Drosophila melanogaster: one gene and its partners. The protein of the gene in region 2 interacts with the protein of the main gene of each other region in a pairwise test. Each region holds a gene or a part of one and is shown on either strand. Other genes may lie near its edges.

Region 1 (4,737 bases), on a different chromosome or scaffold from region 2:
GACCAAATGCGGCGGTACATGTAGCAATCCGCATGCAGCCAAATTGCCGAAAACCACTGCCTTCTGTCCTCTCCAAGACCCTTGAGGAACGAGTTCCAGCTGTCAGTGTCCGGCGACTTGACGCGAATTATCTGGAACTCCCTGTTGTTGATTATATCATCGCGCAGCAGCTCCAGGCTCCAGATGGTGCGCTTCAAATCGAAATGGGCATAGTCCCCGCACTGTTCAATTATATCCGCCTCACGATCCTGTAGGAATGTGATCAAATCCCTCAAAAATGCGGGCGATCTTCGCTTGAAGGTGGCAAAAGCTAGGCTGCGCAGGAATCTGGCGGAAAGTTCGTCATTCTCTCCAGGCGGATTGTATATGATCAGATTCTTCTCGTTGAATCGCTGTTCCTTCAACTGCTCAATGGCGGCAAGATTGGTGGTTTCCGTCACATCGGTGTGGCTAGTTAAGTCAGCACTATGCATTTCGCCTAAAACGTAGAATTTCGAAGCCCTCTTTGCCAGGAAAATATTTCGATTCCAAATTAATATTTTCCTAAACTTTAATAGCCCTAATAGGACAACTGACGTTCATATGAGTGAGTGTCTGTGCTTACTAAGCAATGCCAAAGGCTTTGGAGTACAACTAAATTGCTAAAGGCAATGCAAACGTTTTAAATGTGTTTAAAAACATTTTATAAAAACTAAATTAGTCATAGTTGAAGTGTTAATGATTAAATTGAGTATAATTTCGTTTTGGATCTCGCATAGGTCACTCTGAATTTCAACAATTAAGCTAAGCTTATAACGACTAAAACAATTCAACTAGTTTGCTGTTCCTTGTCCTGATTTCCTTCTTTCTCTACTTGCTGGCAAACTGTATTACGCCATACTCGCCAGTCAACATCCACTCCTTATCCTTGGCAAACAGTTGGTCCGCCACGCCTGCACCCAATCCGCAGATCAGATCCGCTTTAATTGTGCGCAGAGTGCAGAGATTGGAAGGACGAAAGCCTTAACAGGGATATAAAACGTGTAAGTACTGGAAGAATTACTGTCAAGATAGACTCACCCCTCAAGCAAGTTTCGAAGGACTCCGTGCTGTCCCAGGAGAAGTCGCCTAACAACTTGCGATAGTTGAGGTCACCCTTGAAGATAACCAGTTGCGCCTCCTTCAGGCGGTCGTAGAGTGAGGGATTTACCTCTGGCATGCGATAGAACTCGTAGGGACTCGTCCAAAAGTGTTCCAGTGGCGAAAGCTCGAACTTGCCCTCGGTCGTCAAACGCTGCCATTTTTTTCCGACCTCACTCAGCACAGGATCCGGATGGTCGGCCAGAAATTGAAGTGCCCAGTGGAAGTCGTGCTCCATCACGTCCGAAATGAACCAAGGAATGGCCTTGGGATTGAAGCGCACCTTGGCAGCCAATCCCTTGTCGATAATGTACTCAGCCAGAATGAGATCCGTGTACAGCTCATAGCCGGCGTTGTCGAAAATGATGTCCACAATGCCCTCTCCGGAGGCTCCGTCCAGGGCTTTCCATACCTCCGCGGTGCCGTCGATTAGTAGCTTCTCCTCCAAATCCGTAACTTGGTCAAAGGCATTGCCAGTGGGCTTCACCTGTTTGCCGGAGGTTATGGACAGATCGCATCGGTTGCCCCACAAATTGAGTTTGATCAACTGGCGGAAGGTGTCCGAGTTTCGTTCATTGTGCCGCGTAGCCTTGGCCACCGCCAGCATGGCGTCCACGCTCAGTTTGGTCGCCGTCTGTTTCTGCTGGCTGAAGTAGTCGTAGGCGGCCAGATGGGCTGTGGCCCGGAAAATAGATGAGATTTTGCGGTACATATAACACTCGGCGTACAGCCAGCAGACGGAAAAGTAGGTTCTCTTCTCCTTGGGCAGTTTTTCCAGGAATGCATTCCACACTTCAGAGTCGGAATCTGAAAGGCACAGATTCGTTATTCTTATCAAAGAAATTCATTTTGCGCAGGGTAAATGAAATAATAATATATAAAACGCAATCAATTATGAGTTCAATGCTATTAAAAGAAATTAAAACAGTACACTTATATGATTGCCAACCCAATGAGCACCCAAATACCTACCATTTTCACCAAAGGGCAGTAAAGGACCGTTGCTCAGGATGTCATCCCGCAGCTGTCTAACCTCCTTTGTAGTTTGTTCAATATCGGCTTCCGCTGCCTGGAATGCAATTTGATATCAAAGGTTTAAGCTCAAGGTCAAGGTAGAAGTGCACACAACTACCCACCGCGCCATATGTGGCCAGGAGGACGTCCTTGTCCTTGACTAGGGAATCCGCGATGGTGGCCAAGGTCGAAGGCAGACGCACACGGAAGGTGTAGTAGGCAAAGCTCCTGCAATAAATGACTTTTAAGTAATAATCATAATTCAATTCCACAGCTTGGATGTGTGGGTAACGATGGGTCGGCGTATTTGTTACATATGCGCGGGCCATTTAGACACCATCTATAGTAGGCGCTATATTTAGCCCTACTCACTGCTTATAGAGGGCCGCCAGCTCGGTGTGGGGCGGGGTTGGTCCGTCCACGATTCCATTCTTTGCGTCAAAATCCGTTTCGCTGCCCATTTCGAGGATCTGTTTGTTGCTCCAGCCGAATTGTACTGCTGCGGAAAGTTTATAAATTGATAAAGTGGCGCGTAGTGTGACCGCTTTGGCGGTGATGGAAAATACCGAAATTGGAACCGATAATTTACAAGGCGATACTTTTTGAATTTTCAAAATTTGTTACTTATGTTTCAAGTTTTTTATTGTTTCATAGCAAAAAAGGTACATATATGTATATATTTAAGACGTCTTTGGCTTCTAGATATGTAACGACTATTTATTACCAATAATTTAAGCTGACCAGCCTGTACAAGATTAATAGCCAAATTCACGAGCTCCGTCAACGAACTGAATGACCCCATAACTGCCCGAGACCATCCAGCGCGGATCCTTCACACTCAGCGCCTGGCCAACGCCCTCGGGCAGGCCGGAGATAACTTCGCTCTTGACCCGCCGCAGCACACAAATGTTGCTGGGAAGGAAGCCACGGAGGCAGGTGCTGAGTTCCTGGGTGGGGTCCCAGCAGACGTCCTGCAGCAGCTTGCGATAGTTGAGCTCTCCCTTGAAGACCACCAGCTTGGATAGCTGCAGGGAACTATACAAATCTGGATCCATTTGCGCCATGCTGCAATAGTCAAAGATGTAATTAGGAGGCACTGAATATGCAGTCATATCCGGAATGCGAACCTGTAAAACGAATGTGGTGATGTCCAGAAATGCGAGATTGGCGCCAGTTCGAACTTTCCCTCATCGATGAATTGTAGGAACTTCTTTCCTATCAGACTTATAATGTAGTCCGCATGCTCACTCAAGTACTCCAGCGTCCACTTGAAGTCCCGCTCCGTCACATCGGTGACAAACCAAGGGTGGGCCTTCACATGGAACCGCACCTTGTCGGCCAGTCCCTTCTCAATCATGAACTCAGCCAGTATAAAGTCGCTAAAGAGTTCGTAGCCTGCATTGTCCAGTATAAAGTCCACCTGCTTATGCTTCTTCAGTTTAGGGTTTTCCAAGCACCTCCAAATCTCCGCTGCCTGGTTAACCAGTACGCGCTCATCGGTGTTTGCCACTTTCTCCAGCACCTGGCGGTTCGATTGCTTTACTGTATCCGTGTCGGTCGCCACATCATTGCAGTTGCTCCACATGTTGATCCTCAGAAGCTCGTCGAACACCTCCACGCTGTTCTCTGATCGTCGTGTGTACTTGGTCAGGGCCAGTATATCATCAATGCTATCCGTTAGCGCCTGCTCCTTGACTTTGGCAAAGAAATCGTATGACTTCAGAAATACGCTGTTTTCCAGAAAGGAGTGGAGTTTGCGGTGCAGATAGCACTCGGCATGGAGGGAGCTGGCTTTGTAGAAGCTGCGTTCGCCATCGGGCAGGTTGCTGATAAAGTTGTTCCAAACATCTCGATCGGGTTCTAAGAAAACAAGGCTTATAATCCTCATGAGAATTCTATGAAGCTAGGAACTAACCTTCGCCAGTAAAGTTTTGAAACGATTTGTCCGTTTGCAGCTCGTACTTTAGCCTGGAGATCAATCCAATAATGATCTTTAGCTCCTCGCGGGCAGCCTGTGAAAATTCATTTGAGGCTGGAAGAAGAAAAAGTTAATGGAGATGCCAAAAAACGCTTGCAGGGATTAACCAACCGAATTGGGCTACCAGCTCGGATTTGTCCCGTGTCAGCGTATCTATCACGTTGGTCAGGATCACGGGCAGCCGACTCCGGAGTGTGAAGAAGGCAAAGCTCTGCTTGTAATGGCCCGACATAAAGGCATTGAGAGGAGTCTGCAGGTTTACGATCTGGTATTTGGCATCGAATTCCGTTCGCAACAGTCGCGATATTTTGCTGGGTTCCGAGTCCGTTTTGCCTTCGTCCTCGGGCAGTTCGCCTTCCGAGGAAGGGTCCTTCGATAAGGATTCCATCTTTTCTTTTTTTTTGTCTGTGATTTTTGTGCGTTTACTGGTGCATTTTAGCAGAATTTACCTGATTTTGACTGATTTTTCAAAGCTGCAATCTGTTTAGTGTTGCCTAACGCACGTCACACTGCGATTATGCGCAGGACTGTTTGTGAATTTGATTTGTTAAGTTTATGCGCGAGTGTGAATTTTTTCATTCTGACTTATTTTTAAAATTATAGTTTAACAGATAAAACTCCTCATG
Region 2 (6,097 bases):
ACGCTCGACAGGTCGCCGGTACCAAGACGATGAGGGCTATAATTCATCATCGGGAAACTATGGTGTGTCTAGGAAGTTTGGCCAGCAGCAGAGGGCTCCGACCTTGAGACAATCTCCAGCCAGCGTGGGTCGCAGCTTCGAAGATAGCAATGCTAGATCCTTCGAGGAGGCAGGATCCTATGTAGAAGAGGAGATTGCACCTGGAATCACTCTTTCAGGCTATGCCGTCGATATCTAAAACTAGTGATTAAGAGTAAAAATATTAAAATTAATTGTTATGCAAACCATAAGACAATTTAGCTAAAACCCACCTAAAATTCCAAAATAATGATTGAAGTTTTCTTCATCACTTTCTCAAAAACGTTTCACACAATGGAATAAATAAAATGTCTTGGGATAAATCGTTATTTAAATTTTCACTTTTTTCTTACCGCATTTCATTTTTCTATCTCTATAAACCACTTAATTATTTAGGTTATTTGTAGGTAAATGCTACCTTGGCATACTCAAACATTTAACTTTAAAGACATTGATATAAATTCAGCAATTAATTTGCATTTTATTGACGTAGGATAAAAATGGGAAAAATTCGACGAATTAACATTGCTTATTATGCTTGCTTCTTTGTTACATCATTTAAATGATTTACTTTTCTCACTTTAAGATCTAAAACGCAACAACAATACTCTCAGTATTTCATAAACTATATCCATTATACATTGTATATATAAACATTAATACCTAAACAAAAACGTTTATAGGAATGGATTGAACAAATACTCTTTTGTTCGCAGGACTTTTTTTGTGTGTTCGATAGGGATTGCAAAAAAGCTAAGGAAACTGAATTGAATCATTAACTGCACACCCATATCGGGCATGGTCTCACAAATTCTCGATGATAAAACAAAACTTTTTCCTTAAATAGTTTCACATAATATCAATCATCCATGTTGGGCTCACGCAATCCATCCGAGTGCATTTTCTTGCCCGCAATTTCCAACATGGCCCGATCTTCCAAATTGCCATCCAGCACAGAACGTTTCTATGGGTTAAAGATATGATTATTTATTTAATATAATATTGAGTTTAATTTGACATACGTGACCGTCGCCTTCTTCGTCTTCTTCTTTAACTGGTAAGTCTCCTACGGCCCAAACTTCCATGTTTCGTATTTTGAACTGTTTCCGTTTACTTGGGTACGATAAATAATTGGTAGATTAACCACAATTGTTTAAAATAATGTTGAATTAAAATATAGAATCTAGTGGTCTGTAAGGTGAAACATAATCAAGATTTTAATTTACACTCACCTCAACTGCACGTAGTCTCGATATGTAGTGCAACTTTCAACGCTTTGTCCATCGCCGAAACTGCAGTCAATCCAAAGGCCCCAAAAATCAAACTGACCGCCCATGCCCTGTATACGAAAAATATAAACATTTAGCAAAGCAATCAATCAATTAGCTATAAACATTACTCACCAGGCCATTCGGCATAGTCTGCTGATTCAAATTCAAATACTGATAGTGATTGTTATAAGTTGTGGCCGAAAAGCACCGCATGGCAGGGCTTAAGGTGTAGAGCAATGAGCTGTCATCGCCTCCAAATTGCGGTTTCACGGACCACGTTTCGGACGCGTAGCCGCCAAATATATATTGATCCTCGTCCTCAATAAAGAACAGCGTTGGTCCTTTGTCCAGCACTTTTCCCAACATCGTCGAGAAGCTTTCCCCGTTGATTTTCGATGAGAATAGAAAGCGCCATTTGTGCCGATGTTCGCGGGGCAGCTGAGCATTGATATACAGGACGTGAGGTAGTTCGATGATAGGGCGATAATGACTATTTTGCGGAGCATCTGGAAAATAGGAAAAAAGTTATAAACGATTTTAATAAATTTAAAAATTTTCTTTGTCCTACCACACAGTGCTGGCAGAATTGGAATTTCCATTTCCTTGATTATGTTGCGTTTGCTGCCACCATGGCGACAATACAGCTGGCTAAAGACCTCGCGCCAAATCTGCAAAAACTGCGGAGTGACGTGTAACCAACGTTCCAGGGCATCGTTGGGCATAGTGTGCTCTAGCTCCTTGCCCAGATTTCTCATAAGGCCCTTGGCAAATGTGGCGGCGGACCTTTCCGTGGTGTTAAAGCCAAGATCGTGCCACTCCTTGATGCCAGAGTTTTTCGCTGTACTTTCCAAGTGCACGTAGCTCTTGATCACCGAGTAGATATACTGGGGAATTATAAAATTGATTAATTCGCGAGCAAAAGATAAAAGAATTAAATAAACAAGTTGTTCATATGACAGCTAAGAAAATAAACGTGGAAATCTAGTTTTCAGGATAAACATAAATGGAGAGCTAAACCTAATTCAATAACAAACATGTTATGAATCCTAATGAGGCTCGGCTGACAGAAGTTATAAATATTATTTCCGCGATCTGATGACAATGACTACTTATTTATAGACTCACTTGCTCCAATTGCTTGCTGTTGAAGGTGTCATTTCCACTTCTCTCCATTGAGCCCAGGAGCATTTGCATTTTCTGGTCAATAGTACCGCGTTCCATGATGTAGTAGGGCTCTCCAAATTTCTTCAGCTGAAGGTTGACACATTGCTGACCTGGCTTCGTGGGCGTAAATAGATACTGAGCCGTACTTTCGGCCAGGGATCTTTCGATGGTTTGCGACCAAGTTTCCTATTTTCGAAACAAAACAACAGATACATGTATATGTGTGTACATAAACAAAATGCGCGCCGGATACGTAAACATAATTTTCCCGCTGCTGTCAGCAAATTCTTGCAGGGAACGAAGGTCTGGGAAGCGCTGACACAGATTAACCCATTGAAGGACGTACAATGAATAATAATTTGGTTTGACTGAAAACAAAGTCTCTCAAGTTTTATGAAAATAAATACTACTTCAATGTATGTAAAGTTTCAATTTAGAGAGTTTCCGCTTAAATTACTCTATATGAATGCAAGTCTTATAATTTCCTCATTCTAAAAATCAACTATTTCACATGCCATGCTGTAAACGGGTTAAGCATATGGTTTATTTTTAATTCAATTGGGTTTGGCCCTAATTGACGACCCCAGTCATTGAAATCACGACTAATTCGTTAGCAAGCAAATTCAACAAAGCAAAAGACAAACAGTGAAATGCGGCAGCAAACAAATTAGACAAATTATGGACACGTTCGCACTGGCCCAGGAATTATCAATTCGAAACTGATAACGCCCGAGTTGAAGATATCGAATTTTGCTATACCCTAGGAAGCGCTGTGATAATCAAACACGAGCTATAAATAGATGGAAATATTATAAGGAAAAATCATCATCTGGTTACAAACAAACATTTTTTGAGTGGTTGCATTTCCGTCATCTGTGCTGTGATAAAAATAAAACACAAATCTGGGGCCTTGAACCCGCATCGGAAAAATTATAGCATAAATTGTGTATGATCAGATTGATTTAACTAAATGGGTTAAAATAACAATTTTGGAAAGTTACGTGTACATTTAATCTAAATAGGACTGACTAGTTTAGAAAATTACATTTTTAAACAAGTTGAATAATTTACTTTTTATAAACTCTGTTAAATTTCCTGGTTTGCACTTTAAATCGAAAAAGAACTGTATTAAAATAAGGTTTAGAAACTTTGAACTTTTGTATAATGCCGGATAATGTTGCGACTCACTCTCTTATATAACTAAGCTTCTTTTTCGGAACATAGTACTATGATTAACTTCAATGTTTAATCCTCGAAATAGGAGTTAGTGACAACAACAAATTAATGCCCTAAAGGATATACCCATTCAAGTGAAGGGTGGCCATCGCAGCAGGTGGATGGACGGCCGTTTGTCATGCACTCGAAAGTCCCGATTTCTCTTTTTTTGCCGAAGAAAGTTCACTCCGCGCGTCCTTGAACTTGTGACCCTGACCCTTCCGCAAATGCAGAATGCAGTTGCCATTGATTTTCGCAGTGCACACGTGGCACGGTAACTGGATTTACTTGACTTACCACCAATCTGTCTTGGGTCAACTTCTCAAGTGCTCCGCCAGAGGCGTTTTTGTACGCGGATTCCAGCATGCGTAGCTCTTCCGAATTGTAGAGATTATCCGTCTCCCGCTTGCCACTCGCATTTCCCATCTCAGGACACGAAATTCAGTTGGCTGGTGCTACGACGGCTGGTAAACAAACAATGCAGCTGCAGCTGCGGATGATCGCGGATTTTAATTGAAAATAAAAAACAAACAACACAAGCTGGTGATGGAATGGCAGTCGATTTCCCTGCGATACCCTCGATAGTTTCGGAAACGGGTAAATTTCGCGGTGGTCGTCTGCACTATGAATGGTTATTGTCTGTGCTAAGTCAGGTCGATGTATTTGCTAAACGGTTAATTTTAACCGCTAAGCGAATTCAACGAAGGCCAAGCGAATAAAATAAATTTTAAATGCCTTGGATAGCTGTAGTTAAAAATTTATTAAAATAAAAAAAAACTTACAAGTTTGAGCTAAGATACCTTTGCCCTAGCCCGGTATTTTTGAAATTATCTCAGTTACCTTAGCAACACGCCTTATTAAATCAATTGCCTGGCCTAATAAAGTTCTCCCACACAAAAACACAATAAATTCCGATACAAAACTGAAGAAAGCTGGCATACCGACAGATATTTCCGGAATACGATTGGCCAAATCTGTGAGTAATCCAACGCGAAAGGATGATTGGCACTAGCAGCGGAACGTCCCACAATCGGAGTCGAAAGAAGAAAGAACAGTGCGGATCCTGTCCCAACAGATTCTCAAAGGATAAGCGCCAGGTGGCCGCCGAGGACTCGGATACCACGGAGGTGGAATCGTCTACGGATGAGGAGGAACGCTGGAAGGAAGTGGCGCGAGCCGCTGAGATTCCGGCTGACTATTATAATATCCAAAAACTGGTGAAATACATCAAGGCGGGCAATCAGACAGCCACTATAGTATCGTTGTGCTGCTTGAAGGACTACGATCTGAGCACCCAGATCAATCAGTTCGCCATCTCGGACATCGGCGGACTCGATGTCTTGGTTAACATCCTGGAGTGCAGCGACACCAAGTGCTGTTTGGGCGCCCTCAAAGTTCTCTCAGATATCACACTGAACATCGATATTAGGAAGACCATCGTAGATCTGGATGGCATTCCCCTCATTGTGGACATCCTAAACTCTTCCATGAAGGACCTAAAAACCATGGCCGCCGAGACATTGGCCAATGTGTGCAAGGTGCGACTGGCCAGAAAGTATGTGCGCACCTGCGGAGGAATCCCCAAGCTGGTGGATCTCATCGACATCAAGTTGAGGTGAGTTGGCATTGGATAAAGTGCTTCATACTACATCACCACATATAAGAAATAATTAAAAAAAAACCTAATTATATTATAGCATTCTAAAGACGCCTCGTGACCAATTGAGTCCAGATGATCTGGAATCTCTCGATATGACACGCGCTGGAGCCCGGGCTCTTTTCACTCTGGCCGATTCCAAGCACAACATGGAGCAGATGCGCAAGAGCGGAATTGTTCCTTTGATGGCTCAGCTCCTTAAGTCCTGTCACATCGATGTCGTCATTCCCATAATGGGCACCGTTCGAAAGTGCTCCTCGGAGCCGAAGTTCCAACTGGCCATCACCACCGAGGGCATGATTCCCGACATTGTGAGCCATCTGAGTTCCGAAAATACCGAGCTGAAGATGGAGGGCAGTACAGCGATCTACAAGTGCGCCTTCGACGGAACCACCAGGGATTTGGTGAGGGAGGCTGGGGGCTTGGAACCTTTGGTAACTATCATAAAGGACAAGAATGTGAGGGAAAATAAGCCTTTATTGAGAGGCGCCACTGGAGCGATTTGGATGTGTGCCGTAACCGATGCAAATGTCAAAGTGCTGGATCAACTCAGGACGGTGAACCACCTGGTGGCCTTGCTAAATGATGAGTGTGACGAGGTCCTGACCAACGTGACCGGAGCTATATCTGAATGTGTGAGATTTCAAAGCAATAGGGAGCAACTGCGTCAGGCTGGAGGATTACCAGCAATGGTTTCCCTACTCAACAGTTC
Region 3 (4,278 bases), on a different chromosome or scaffold from region 2:
AAACCGGACATTTACCTTAAGCGTCAAACGGGACTCGCTCGGCTCTACGCAGCTGTGATCATTAGTCAAGGGCGAAAGGCAGCTGGACCGGATGAATGCTTCGAGCTGAATGAGGGATGGCTCTGGCTAGCGCACATGGTGCATGTGAAACCATTGCCCGATATTAGTGCTACCTTGATCATGGAGATTCTCCAGACCCTCGGCTTCGAGTTGTGGCGCACCTACGGCAAGCAGTTCGTCAAGCTGCTGGTCTACATTCAGAATATCTACATGCCTCAGCTGGCAGCCTACGACGAAGGTGGTCCGAAGACACGGCTGGAAATGCTCCTGGCCAAGTTCCTGCGTGAGCGGCAGATTGCACAGGCTGTCGGAGTTTTGCCTCCAGGATTTTGGTAGGCATGCGATGATTTAGTTAGTTTTGTTAAGTGTGTGTATTTTTATAAACAAAAGTGATTATTGTAGTAATGGGACGTGTATTCATTCAGTAAATAGAGAAAACTTGCTTGTAAACGCATACGTTTCATTTCCAGAAATGCAACAATTAAGAGCCACAACTTTATTGATTGAAGGGTAGCTAAAAGGCAGAAATCAATTTCAAACTCATTTCAAACAAACTACGCGGAGGACTAGTCATCGTCCTCATCGTCCAGATCTAGGTCATCCAGTTCGCCGGCCAGATCAACAAAGAGATCCTTGTTGATGGGGGCAGCATCGTTGGCGGGTGCAGACGACGATGGGCCATCCTCGTCGGCCGCTGCGTCCTCGGCTGCGGCGGTTTTGGCTGCTTCGGTTGCCTGGTCCAGTAGTCGATTGGTGGAGGCAATGGTGCCCGAGCCGTCCACCTCCTTGGCGGCCAGCGACAGGGCAGCCAGATCCAGTTCCTTGAACTCGACGGCATTATCGTCGTCGTCCTCCCTGTTGTAGACGTCGAAAGCAGCGTCGCCCTCCTCCATGGGTCCGTCGTCGACCAGATCCGGATTGAAGCTGAACATTTCGCGACCAGAGATGCCGAACTGTTTGCCCTTGCTGAAGTCACTCTTCTTGCGCTCTTCCTCGGCAGCCAGCTTGGCCTTCTTCTCGGCAATCTTGCGCTTCTTCCAGGCGAGGAAGGACTCGAGGGTGACGCGTGTCTGGTTGGGACCGAGGGCAGCGCGCTCCTTCTCAATTAAATCGACCAGCGAGATTTCCGTGGGCTTTTCCTCCTTCTTCTTATCGCGCTTCAGCACATATCCAGCTGGCAAGGCGTGACGGTAGATGCACTTTCCGCCGTTGGGGCACTCCCAGAACCAGCCGTACTTTGATTTTTCCACAGCTTCCAGGAAGAATTTGCAAATCTGAAACACAGGGGAGGTTAGTTTTGAGTTTTAAGCAGTTTTTTAAACTTAGACCCACAATATCCGTGGTGGGACGTTGCTTTTCGCCGGAGCTCTTCTTCTCGACCACCTCCTTCAGCTTGGCATCGTCCCAGTTGGTCATCGGATCGTCCTCGTCGCGCATGTCCACATAAATGGACCGCTTTTCGACCTTGTTCTCCTGGGAAAGATCGTGGGAGAACTTGCACTTGTCGCCCTTGGTGCAGGTGCCCTGTTTGAAGAAGGCGCAGACCACCGACTTGGGATCGGTGCCCTTCTCCACCTTCTGAGTCTGTACCGGCTTGAAGATCAGCGCCATCTCGCGCTGTTCGGCCAGCTTCTTCTCCTTCTCCTCCTTGCGCTTGTCGCCATCCTGGCGAGGATGCTGTCCGCCGGACTGGACCTGCTTCTGCACCTGCTGGATGAACTTCTGCTGCTTGTTGCCCTTCTTGTTCTTCAGCCCGAAGGTTTTGTCCTGCCGATGGAATTACACTTGGTCAGTTCAATGTGGATCTTATTGAATTTCTCCCTGCCGGGTTTCCACATCACGGATTTACAAAGAGGGGGGCTCACCCATCGGCTTTCCGGTTACGAAGCCTACCTCAATGACTTTCTCCTTCTTTTTCTGCTCCGTCTTCTTGCTGGGACCTGGTGGCGCCTTTTTGGGTGGCATCTTCGGGCGGGATACGGGAATTTAATAACTTAAATGTAGAAATAAAGTTCAAACGAAGTTTTTTGCACAACCACGCTGGAACAAGAGGCCCTGTCAGTGTGACCAGAGTGCGGATGGCAGCATATCTCAGGAAGAACCGGTTATCATTAATTAATTTAACAATTGTGCTTTTAAAAATGTAGTAACTGAACAAATGATTTCTTGGCCAGCAACTTTTAATTAATAAGTGGAGTGTGCATGAATTGCACACTTTTAAACTGTGTGGTTTGAAAAAGAGCTAAGGTTTTCAGCGCACACTTAAACCACTCAATCGATGTTTACATGGGTTCAAAACTTGGCTATTTAACTTATTTCTAATATTTAATATCATACATTTTAAATCATCGTTTGAGTTACAACTTTTAAAAGACATATCGTTAAACATATATAGTAAGTGGCTGTTTCAGCAGCATAGCGACTATTTTACAGATTTTACACGAGCTCCATCTAATGGCGTCGACATTACTTAGAATACTAATGCCCTACAAGTTACCTATAATTTATATCCGATCTATAGAGCGATTCGAATAATTTTTGGTATTGGAATCTAGCTGCTTACTCCCATCTCATTAGCTGATATAACTGATATACAGGCGAAGGGAAAGACGGACATGGCCGGATCGACCTAGGTAAGGGTAAGGATCCTGGTCCAGAATATATATACTGTTCCTGTGACTTAGCATTGAAAAAATCTTGTATATATAGTATTCCCATTAAAATACCTTAAACCCTCTTCTAATATAAATCCCATCTTCCATTGCTCAAAATTGATACTTTTTTTTCTCACTGTACCATCTCGCTCACCAACACACATGCAGCAACGAGAAAGAGAGCAACGACGTGTCTCTTCGTGGGTGGCCCTTAATTCGACGTCATCTTCTTGGGTGGTCCATATTAGCCGGCCTGCTCTCTCCCCCCTTTTGATCTCAAGTGCGAGCGAGTGCGATGCATGTGGATAGGTTCCCCATTGATCATTTTCTCGTTTGATAGTGCGTGACGTCTCTGGGCAGCCGTCTCGCTCGCACTAATTTATGCCGCCCGAATGGTGGGGCGCCCATTTTTTGATCCTTCTTCTGCTGCTCACTCGCGCTCATTTATTCGAGCATAAAATTAGCAATTATTTGTTTTTCTTGCCGCCCTGTCGTCTTTGTCTTCTTTATTCCCAGCGCTCCTGGGCGATCGACGTGTGTGGCCCTCCACATCCCATTTGCGATCGGAGCGGATTGTGGGGCATTATTGGACCCTGTCTTTGTGCCGCGATTTAAACATACATATTCGGTTTTCTAGGAATCGGGCAATCCTAGTGCGCCAAACGTTCGGAAAGCTTGGCTTTATTATTATCGTTCCGAGGAAAGCGAAATTAGGTTTTTATTTCGGGTAGGGCCTGGGAATGCGGATGGAGGTTAAGGTTTGGAGACCAAGCACACACCCAGAAGAAAAAAACTTTTTTAACATTTTCAATTTTATTTTGCTTATTTTATCTTTGCTCGCAGCCATAACGTCGAGATCTTCCAGGGTGCTGTATCCGTGGTGAAGGGTTCGGGGGGCAGAGCTCCCACTATTAATACTACAATTTTGGAAAAGGTTTATTTTATTATTCTTGATTATTTCCATTGGTATTTAAAAACAATATTCTTTCTGGTACTCACACTAGCTAGATAGTCGAGAAACTTATAGCTCTTACTGTCGTTTTTTATTGATAAAAAAAATTCTTGAACTTTTTTTCGCCGACAGCAATGAGACTGCTCCAAAAATGGATATCCCTAATTCTTTTCGAAAAGTATGTATATATTGACTTTTTTCAGTTTCATTGATCGAATTCAGCCAAAGACTGACGTTTTACCCATTCACGATCTCATCTTCGGTCTTAGACAGCAAGGAATGGGCTGCGGTTAGTTAACTTAGGGGTAATCATCAGCCAAATGATAAAGGCTAGATCCTCTACTATCAGATACCTATTACTCAAATAATTTGTTTTCATACAATAAAGATAGTCTTTTATCCTGTATGTAAATCATTTATGATTTATATGATTAAAACCAATTTTCGTCCCGTTAATAAAAAAAAAAATTATTTATAAAATCTTTAAAAATATAACAGTTTATAACTATTACAGCACCAGGTCAACTTCTTCGATCCCATCTCGGATTTTTTCAAGCCGTTCTTCTCTGTAATTGGCCCAAAGAACGTAGAATTGCCCAGCGGCAGCAATAA

What was found. Proteins that work in one complex are often made in the same cells at the same time.
Region 1: the proteins of CG5149 (region 2) and CG11474 interact in a two-hybrid assay, tested with the Drosophila melanogaster proteins (one large-scale study listed by BioGRID).
Region 3: the proteins of CG5149 (region 2) and CG8635 interact in a two-hybrid assay, tested with the Drosophila melanogaster proteins (one large-scale study listed by BioGRID).

Annotation. Positions count from the first base shown.
Region 1 is NT_033778.4:22,070,707-22,075,443, forward strand, and holds CG11474 (uncharacterized protein), read right to left. Parts: upstream 2,738-4,737; 5' UTR 2,595-2,737; coding exon 2,506-2,594; intron 2,362-2,505; coding exon 2,256-2,361; intron 2,189-2,255; coding exon 2,092-2,188; intron 1,927-2,091; coding exon 1,060-1,926; intron 1,002-1,059; coding exon 850-1,001; 3' UTR 528-849; downstream 1-527. Other genes in the region: CG11475 (uncharacterized protein), read right to left, coding at 1-473; CG2921 (uncharacterized protein), read right to left, coding at 2,889-3,198, 3,261-3,993, 4,049-4,165, 4,223-4,499.
Region 2 is NT_033779.5:7,383,950-7,390,046, forward strand, and holds CG5149 (uncharacterized protein), read right to left. Parts: upstream 4,305-6,097; 5' UTR 4,155-4,304; coding exon 4,026-4,154; intron 2,700-4,025; coding exon 2,475-2,699; intron 2,234-2,474; coding exon 1,918-2,233; intron 1,856-1,917; coding exon 1,482-1,855; intron 1,418-1,481; coding exon 1,311-1,417; intron 1,192-1,310; coding exon 1,101-1,191; intron 1,043-1,100; coding exon 938-1,042; 3' UTR 537-937; downstream 1-536. Other genes in the region: ninaC (neither inactivation nor afterpotential C), read left to right, coding at 1-238; gudu, read left to right, coding at 4,727-5,343, 5,426-6,097.
Region 3 is NT_033778.4:8,629,680-8,633,957, forward strand, and holds CG8635 (uncharacterized protein), read right to left. Parts: upstream 2,284-4,278; 5' UTR 2,026-2,283; coding exon 1,954-2,025; intron 1,828-1,953; coding exon 1,393-1,827; intron 1,335-1,392; coding exon 627-1,334; 3' UTR 528-626; downstream 1-527. Other genes in the region: Gle1 RNA export mediator, read left to right, coding at 1-396.